Linked DNA regions of Coturnix japonica. The protein of the gene in region 1 binds, or shares a complex with, the protein of each later gene. Links are inferred from orthologs where the notes say so. Each region holds a gene or a part of one and is shown on either strand. Other genes may lie near its edges. The genes, in order: COQ7 and COQ4.

Region 1 (4,517 bases):
AGTTGGCAAAGCTTAAAACAAAATCTTATAATAACCAATCTCTGCTCGAGGCAGAGCGAACAGAAGTGCTCACTTCATTTTACTTACCCTGAAAACGCAATTTAAAAATATCCTACTTATTCAATACAGACAATTTTAAAATGAGCTAATAAGCTCCAACTTACTTCAAGTATATATAAAATTGAAGGCAATAGAAAACGTACTGTGTTCATGTGTGCAGATATCTATGTAATACACACCCACAGTCTGTATGTCAATACATACATATTTTACTGCCACCTTGTGAACAGTTTCTGCCAATTCTGCCATTGTTCACATTCAGCCCAAACGACTCAAGTGTTGATTTTTTGAGCAGGTACTCAAAGTGACAAAAGCAGACGTGGTCAAAACATGCTCAATTAAGAAAATGTTAAAAGTCTGAATAAAAACTAAGCTTAGTCTTCCATACATTTTCGTTTCACAGTTTATTACTGCAAGCATTATGGAAAACATCACTAAATTCTTTCTGATAAATATATTGCAGCTTTGCATCCAAGCTGTATTACCGTCTTCAATACAGAATAAGCCGGTGCCTGTAAAACAAAGAATAACAAATGAGAAGTACTTAGCAGGATGGAGCTTTATCTGAAATAGAGCAGCACCAATTAATTAACACTGTACTTACTCTCTCTGCATCGTGCTCAAGCCCAACGTCATGGTGCTCCAGTTCATCATCCCGACATTGCTTTATTATCTTTAAAAACAGCAAGTAATTAGTAAGTCTGCTTTGCAGAAAAGTCAAGGCAGCTGAATACAGAACCACAGTCTGTCGTTCATTGTGTGCACGAGAGTAAGCCCGGGTCTCTCAGAAGCTTCCCCAGGTCTTCAACTTCCAAGAACAGGATTATTTATATCATCTCCCCAAACTAGAGTTATTTAAATGTTCTGCAGGAGTATTGAAGAAAACAAAGCTACTGTGATCTCTGAGGTCCTTTTCAGCTCAGGCCATTCTATATCACTATCTTTTTAAAAATTTTAAGAAAACCTGTAGTCACAGTAATTAACTGGTTTGTCACACACATCTGCTACCTTGACAATTCAATTAACTAAATTAAGGCGTCTGCCTTGACAGATTACCAGTAAGGGTATTTCCTTGTTACCCAACACAGCTTTTGTCCATTTCAGCATAGTCTAAAGAACACTGTTTTTTTCCTCTAAGTTTTCCAACTAGGACAAAAAGATCTAAAGAATTTCCTCTTGGTCTGACTGGAGATAACCAGGACATCTGAATAACTCCAGCCACTGTCCCCATCCAAGAAGTTTGCTTTCATTACTGTTCCTCATACTGAGGCTGTGAATAACATTATTACTCAACTCCTTCTTCTGTATTCTGCACTCAGATACCAGCCCTTATTTTCATAGGCAATATTTTCCTTATGCACATCAGCACAATCTGGTTACATAAAAACACAAATACAATTTGGATAGAAGCAGACTTGTCAGCATGTTAAACTAGACACAACTGAACACAGTAACATACAGCAAAGAACTAGAACTGTATACACAGGCTGTAAAGTAAGCTCCTACCACAAATAAGTTGAACTTGCAATATCTGAGGTCAGCCCTTCATGAACACCCTACAGGAGCACATCCCAGTGCAACTCCTAAAGCAACTGGGAAATAATTCTCTTGCAGAGCTAACAAACACTAACTCCTTTCTTCCTCTGAGCAGTGTTCAAAACTAGACTCACATAGTAACATTTTGCTTATGCTGGATATGATCATGTCATCACTGCTTTCCCTTTTCTCCCTCCTAACCCCTACCTTTCAATTAAAAGTAACCACAATTAAGTCCCACCTCTCCCAGAGAAAAGGGGAGCAATGAAGCACTGAAAGCATGCTGAAGTTAATCTAATGTATGTTTTAATTTGCTACTCAATAGGCTTAGTGCTGCTGAAGGAAGGAAGAGCCATCTTTTATCCTAAAATTTCTATTCACTTTGGAATTCTAAACAACAGAATTGAGAGATGCTGGAAATCCAGATTGGTGCAATATTTTAAAAGTCAAGTCATATTATAAAGTTCAATGAATTTCTGACGTCCCTTTCAAGCCACAGTTACCTGCATCAGTTCTTTGTACTTTTCTGGATCTTCTTCCATCAGAGTTCGGATCTGGTTGTTATAGTGGTCTGAAATGCTCTCTTCCACTGCTACTGTGCAAGCCATTGCACCCTTCTTTCCAAGCAGAGAGCTTGCAGCCCCTGTGATTGCAGTACCAAACGTACACAAACAGTGAAATCTGAAACAACGTGAATAATTGAAGCACGTGAAGACTTCCAAAACCAACAACAGCAACAGTAACACAAACTCACCTAAAACAAAGCCTGCTACATTCCAGAAAGGCAATAAGACAGTAGGTCGGACTCTGTATGCAACCATTAACTCATTAAACTTTTTCAGGTGTTCTTTTTCTTGATTCCACATTTGCTGTAACAGAACCAAATGACAGCACAGACCCGAGAAGTTCAACTCTCCGCTATAACCAAGCAGCGCAACGCAGACCAGGAGGGCTCGTGTCCACGCACCTGGATGAGCGGCCCGGCTGCCGACCTGCCCAGCACGGCCATCTGCCCGGCATAGATGCGGTTGGCACCGAACTCCCCGGCGTGGTCCACGCGGATGATGCGATCGATGACGGCTTTGTTGACGCCGTGCAGAGCCGGCCTCGTGCTGCAGGGCCTCGGGGCGGGGACAGGCCGCCTTCCACAGCGACCTGCCGGAAGGGACACAGGTGAGCCGGGCTCTGCCGCCGCCCGGCCCCGGCTGTAAGTGCCCAGGCGAAAGGCTCGGTCCGTCCGGCATTGGGCAGCGGCAGCTCCGTACCCGCAGGGCCCCTCAGCGCTCGGTACCGGCCCAACGAGCCCCGCAGCGCCGGGGTCAGAACCGCGGCGGCCGCCATCCCGCTGACCCCGACGCCTTTGCGTCGCGCTGCTTACGTCATCACCGCGAGCCGCCCGCCTCCCGCCGCCATCACGATTCCCATTGGCTGCCCGCCTCCTCCGCACTGGGCAGCGGAGTTGTCAATCTAAATCAGCGTCTCCTGGTTCCCATAGGAACGAAAGGGAGGCGGGAAGCGGGAGCCCATGAGGCGGGAGCCATGAGGTAGATCCCGCTTGGTGCCACAGGGGGAAGCTATGGAAGGCCTCACACATGGTAGCGTCGTGTTAAACGTGTTTCACAGCCAAATAAAGCCAAAAAACAAACTGCCAACACGGCTTCCATCGTCCAATAAAACGTTTTTTAAAAGATCAGATACTGGATTTTAAAATTTGGTTTATTACACGTTAATCAAAAACTGAGGACGGAAAACATTACAAAACATCACGTAAAAAGGAATTATCTTACATGAAACACCAGTGTGCGACCAGGAAATGTCGAGTAATGTACACAGCAATGTGCAGGAAAACTGCCTTTAAATAGAGGGAGAAACTCGTAGGTTACGTGGAACCATCGATCTGAGTCACACAGCTGCATCTGTCCATTAAACAAGATCTAAAGGGCAGCAGCCGAGCTCTGAATGCTGCATTTCTGACTATAAATAACGCCCAAACATTCACATTTTAGAACACGGAGCAGTATTCGAGGCACTTGTATTCAAGGCACTTGTTCAGAGCTGAAATGCAAGCAGTACAGCCTTACCATCTGCGAGAGGCTCCTGCACAGCAGTGAGATCCTCCTCATGCTTCTTGATCTAGTGTTCAACTGCACTACTTCAAATCACGGACATGTGTCTCTTTTGCTTCCGTTTTAAAAGAGATCTGGGTGGGAAAAAGTCAGCCCCCGCCCCCAAACCACTCACCCCACCCCAATTATTTCAAGTATAATTTATAAAAACAGCATGGAGTTCTTAAATGGTTGCAGTTCTAATCATAATTTGCCCCAAACTCCTGAAAAATACAAACAAACCAGGAACTTATCAGTGATCCTAACAGCTCTGAGATGGTAGCAGCAGTAAAACACCCTGCCACAGAATGTTTCAAACAGGTCTAATATGGTACAAATAAGCTAAACTTCCAGTCTTGGAAACTATAAGGCCCACTAGCATAATCAACACTAACAAAAACATTAAGCACCTGCTACACAGATCACAGTACTGGTCAGCTGCTGTTTTTACATCCTGCAGATCATCTACCCTTATCTAGTGGTTCCAGGAGCATCACATGCGAACTTCTGGCTTTTTGTGGTTTTCAAGAATTTTTCTGAGCTTCTGTTAGTTTTTCAATTAGGAACAACTTGTCACGACTCTCCTGGAAAGACAGAATAAAAAGTACACTTCAGATAAAAACACGTACAAATTCTATATCTAACTCATTTCTTTATTAGAAGTAGATAGATGCTCTCATCACCAGCACTCTAATTAGTGGTTAACAGCACTCTCTCAACTGCCTAAACTAGAAGTTTAACAATGGCTTTGAAATCATTTACCTCACATCAGGAAGACTGTTTGTCCTCTGTATGCCTAATTACGGATGCCACAAG
Region 2 (4,322 bases), on another chromosome or scaffold:
AGGTGGGGAAGGAGATGCTTGGCCACATCCATAAGGTATCAGTGTTGGTTCAGCAGGTCCTATTGGAGCTGGAGGTGTCAGGATACATAAGGACACTGCACAGTGTCACTGGCACACACAGCACTCCAAGTGACTTCTGTCTGCTCTGGGGTAGTGCTCAAACCTTTACAAGCTGTAATGGCAAACACAGCCACGTACATACGTACATCAGCAAGGCCTTGTGGTTTGTTCCTTGGATGACGGCGAGGATCCGTTCCAGCTTCTCCCTCGTGATATGATCTGCAAATATCACAAGGTAGAAACAAAGCCTCAAAATCCATCTGGAGACTGGGAGGACAGCAGCCTGAGTGGTGCCATTGGTGTCAGCAGTGGTTAGGGCTAGGGATCAAGGCACCTTAATGTGGTACGTGCATAAAGAGAGGCCAGGAAGCATTTGGAGCATTGCCTTTGGTTGTGCATTTCACCTGGCCTTGCTGTTCAGCTGGAGCACTGTTTGCTTAGTGCTCTGTTGAGGGTTTATTTCCCCCTTAAACACATCGATTCCGTTTCTTACCAAACGTTGTCTTCTCTATCAGCTTCCCAGTGTCTGAGAAGTCCTCGGTGGCTTTACCAAACTGCCCCCTCACCGTGTAAACCTCCAAGAGAAGCAGAGGGTGTCATCCATCAAAGGGAGGCTCAGAACAACTGAGTCCAGCCATCAGCCCGGCCCACCGCCGACCCGACCCTCCGGACCAGCCCCGGGGTGGCACCGACACTCAGATCCCGTCCCAGGTCGCTCTGGGTTCCCGTGGCACGTACCTTGCTCAGGTGGCAGTTGTGCAGGTGGCTGAGCAGCTTGTTCCCATGTCCAACGCCGAGCACTGCAATGCAGGATGCGGGGCGGCCCTTAGAGCCGTGCCGGTCACGATGCTCCGCAGCCGGGAGCCGCGTGTTGCCGGTACGGCGGGGCCGCGTTAAGGCCCATCCCACCCAACGCCCCGCTCGCACCGAACACCCCCGATGCCTTCACGTCCAGCCGGTGCCCGGCTCCGATCTTCAGCTGCGTGAAGCGGGGCCCTCGAACTGCGGACAGACACGGAGATTAGCACGGACCCTCCCGGTTCTCCCTGTTCTCCCGCACCCCCCGGTGCTCACTCACCCAGGCGGTGCTCGGCCAACACCGGCACCTTCACGGCCACCAGCCCCGGCGGCCCCGCGCTCGCAGCGGGCAGGAAACGGATGCGGCTCCGCGGGGGCCGCGCTGGGGCCGCGTTGAGCTCTGCAAGGAACGGGAGAATAAGCACAGACCGAGACCGAGCCGTGTGTGTGTATGGGGCATTGGGGGGGTCCTGAGCTCCGCTCACCGCGCAGCAGCCGCGTCTCCACCGCATCCCGCACGCTGTTCCACGCCACCCCCGGCGCTTTGTACACGGCGAACAGCCCCGCAGGAACCGCCGCCATCCCGCCCCGCCCCGCACGGCCCCGCCACGCCGCTTCCGGGGCTGCGCCATGCTGCGGGGGGCGGCGGGGCGGGCTGCGCTGCTGCGGGCGGTGCGGGGCGCTGCGGGTAAGGGAACCTCGGTAATGGAACCCGGGTAAGGGAACCCGGGTAAGGGAACCCCGCTATGGGAACCCACTCGTCCCGAGCGCCGTGACTCTGAGCTCTGCCACCGCCGCTCCCCGCAGGCAGAGCCGGGCTGGGCCGCGCTGTGCCCCGCGCTGAGGATGAGGAGGAGGAGGAGGAAGAGCAGCCGGTGGGACGCGTCCCGCTGTACCCCGGGCACATCCCCACCAGCACGATGCAGAAAGCGCTGCTGGCGGCCGGCTCGGCGTGCGCCGCGCTGTGGGATCCCTATAGGCACGGTGCGTGGGGATAGGGGAGGTGGGATGGATCCGAGACCTCACCGCTCCCTGCAGTCCATGCAAGGAGCTGCGGTGAGCTGGGGTCGGGCTCTGCTCATGGGGAACAGCGGTGGGATGAGAGGTGACGGCCCCGTGTTGTGCTGCGGGGGCTCAGGTTGGATATAAGGGAGCATTGCTGCTCAGAAGGAGCGGTGCTGCACAGCTGGGGTCACCATCCATGGAGCTGTTAGGAATGGTGGGGCTGTGGGTGGGCATGGCAGGTGGGCCGGGCTTGGACCTGGGGGTCTGAGAGGGCTGTTCCAACCTGGATGGTTCTGTGACCCCCTGCAGCACTCGGGGTCCCCTCTCCTCCCATCAACAAAATGTGTCCAGGCATCACAAATGCAGGAGTGCAGGGATGGTGCTGCTGTATCACTGTGCAGTCTCTCTTTCAGACATGGTGGCAGTCCTCGGTGAGACCACGGGCTGCCTTGCCCTGCCCAAGCTGCGAGACAGGATGAGGAATGACCCCGAAGGTTACCGCATCCTCCAGTGCGTTCCCCATACCCAGCCCCAGCCCTCCACCTCTGCCCCTCTGTCAGACCCCATCCATCCACCCCATTGATCCGGGTGTATTCCCTGAGCCCTGTAAAGGAGACCCCCACACTGCTGCCCTGTGAGGAGCTCAGGATCTGTCAGCTCTGAGCCTCCCAGCTGTGGGTTTTGCTCTGTACTCAGCTCACAGCAGAGCCCTGCAGCAGGTCCCAGGGCAGCAGCACGGAGCCCCTGGGCTGTTTCAGCATCACAGTCTGTTCTGCTCTGCTGCCACTGGCAGGTGCTGTCTCTCTTCATGTAGATGCTGTGTTTTCTGTTTCATCCCTTGCAGCATCTCCTCCCTTGGGGACTCCACCCCCACTGCTTTGTCTTCTCCATAGGCACCTCCAGGTTTTCATTCCACCACCCACAGCATCTCCCTGCGCTGTGAGATAAGACTTGATGGCTTTTGCTTCTGTGTCTTCTGTGTCATGTAGGGGCTGCGCTGGGAAGGGCAGGGAGGGCTGTCCAGGTCTCCATCTGCCCAGCACCCCCAGTGTGTGGGTCCCACATGATGCTCAGTGCTTTCTGTTCCAGGGAGCGGCCTCGCATCCACCTTTCCACACTGGACATGGCCCGGCTGCGGGGGCTGCCAGATGGCACATTGGGCCGTGAATACGTCCGCTTCTTGGAGGACAATGTGAGCCTGGGATCTCACTGGGGTTGGTGTCTGTGCCAGGAGCACAGATGAGATTTAGAGGGAGGTTGTGGCTGTGGAGAAGCCCATAGGGCACCTGGAGGAAATGAAAGGAGTTGGTGGGAGCTGAGAGGTTGGGATGTGATGCTGGGTGTGGGTTATGCGTCCTTGGTGCTGTGCAGCCCGTGTGTTTGATGTGTGTAAATGATACCCACAGCATTAGGGGCTGAGAGATACACTGATGGTGAGCTCTGCATTGCTGTGTGTTAAAGATTGAGATCAGAAGCTTTGAGTTCTGGCTGACCTGCAGCTCTCTGCCCTTGCAGAAGGTTTCTCCGGACACCCGCATGCCAGCCAAGTTTGTGGATGATGAAGAACTGGCGTATGTGATCCAGCGGTACCGAGAAGTGCACGACCTGATGCACACCCTGCTGGGCATGCCCACCAACATGCTGGGTGAGCTGCCACGTTTCATGCTGCCCAGGGATGGTTTTTGGCCCATTAGAATCCCTGATCCCCAGCCCAGAGAGGTGCATGGGGAGGCTGGCAGCATCCCTGTCCCTGCACCACTGTCCTCTGTCATCTGTGTGTGTTCATTGTCTGCTGGGTTAGATCACAATGTGGTGTTACACAAGCTCTGTCAAGGGTTTCCTGGTTGTTCCTTATGTGTGCCTCCCTGTGTCCTTTCCCCTCATTTTATATCTGACTCCAAGTCACAAGCTGAGCCTTCCTGGTGAGCCAGCAGGAAGCAGCATTTCTGGTCCCTTGGAAGGTTCTGGCTCAGATGTGGCTGAAAATGGGCTTTTCCATGCTGGGAGATGGGGAAAGATACCCAGGGAAATCCTCATTTAGCAGTTGCATCACTAAAGATCTCCAGGAGCGCAGCCTTTCTGGGGGATAACACAGGGCTCCTGTCCCGATGTGGGGCCGTGCCCTGTGCTTGCTCACTGTGCTCTGCTTGCTGCCAGGTGAGGTCGTGGTGAAATGGTTCGAAGCTGTCCAGACGGGGCTGCCCATGTGTGTGCTGGGAGCAGCGTTTGGCCCCGTTCGTCTCAATGCAAGGTAGGCACACGTGCTGGCTGATAAAGATCCATGTTGGCCTGAGCTCTGCTCTTGGGTGTAACCTTCCCACACAGAGTCCCGTCCTATGCCTCAGTTTTCCCTGTGAGATAAGCAGGAGTGCTGGAAGGGTGCAGGGGTGTAGGGTTTGCATCTGCCCAGAACAGGGACTTGCAGGAAGAAATAGAAAACCAAATGTGGAAATGAAAAC

What was found.
Region 2: COQ7 (region 1) and COQ4 share a complex: the UniProt entries of both Homo sapiens proteins name them as parts of the multi-subunit COQ enzyme complex. The link is inferred for Coturnix japonica from reciprocal best matches to the Homo sapiens genes COQ7 and COQ4.

Annotation. Positions count from the first base shown.
Region 1 is NC_029529.1:8,179,258-8,183,774, forward strand, and holds the start of COQ7 (5-demethoxyubiquinone hydroxylase, mitochondrial), read right to left. Parts: upstream 2,996-4,517; 5' UTR 2,938-2,995; coding exon 2,862-2,937; intron 2,752-2,861; coding exon 2,564-2,751; intron 2,466-2,563; coding exon 2,351-2,465; intron 2,240-2,350; coding exon 2,100-2,239; intron 734-2,099; coding exon 665-733; intron 573-664; coding exon 495-572; 3' UTR 1-494. Other genes in the region: TMC7 (transmembrane channel-like protein 7), read right to left, coding at 4,226-4,285. UniProt on the Homo sapiens protein: Catalyzes the hydroxylation of the 5-methoxy-2-methyl-3-(all-trans-polyprenyl)benzoquinone at the C6 position and participates in the biosynthesis of ubiquinone.
Region 2 is NC_029532.1:3,727,638-3,731,959, reverse strand, and holds the start of COQ4 (ubiquinone biosynthesis protein COQ4 homolog, mitochondrial), read left to right. Parts: upstream 1-1,473; 5' UTR 1,474-1,488; coding exon 1,489-1,546; intron 1,547-1,665; coding exon 1,666-1,842; intron 1,843-2,276; coding exon 2,277-2,373; intron 2,374-2,952; coding exon 2,953-3,055; intron 3,056-3,378; coding exon 3,379-3,508; intron 3,509-4,020; coding exon 4,021-4,114; intron 4,115-4,322. Other genes in the region: mitochondrial mRNA pseudouridine synthase TRUB2, read right to left, coding at 207-279, 554-635, 799-860, 988-1,062, 1,139-1,258, 1,344-1,440. UniProt on the Homo sapiens protein: Lyase that catalyzes the C1-decarboxylation of 4-hydroxy-3-methoxy-5-(all-trans-decaprenyl)benzoic acid into 2-methoxy-6-(all-trans-decaprenyl)phenol during ubiquinone biosynthesis.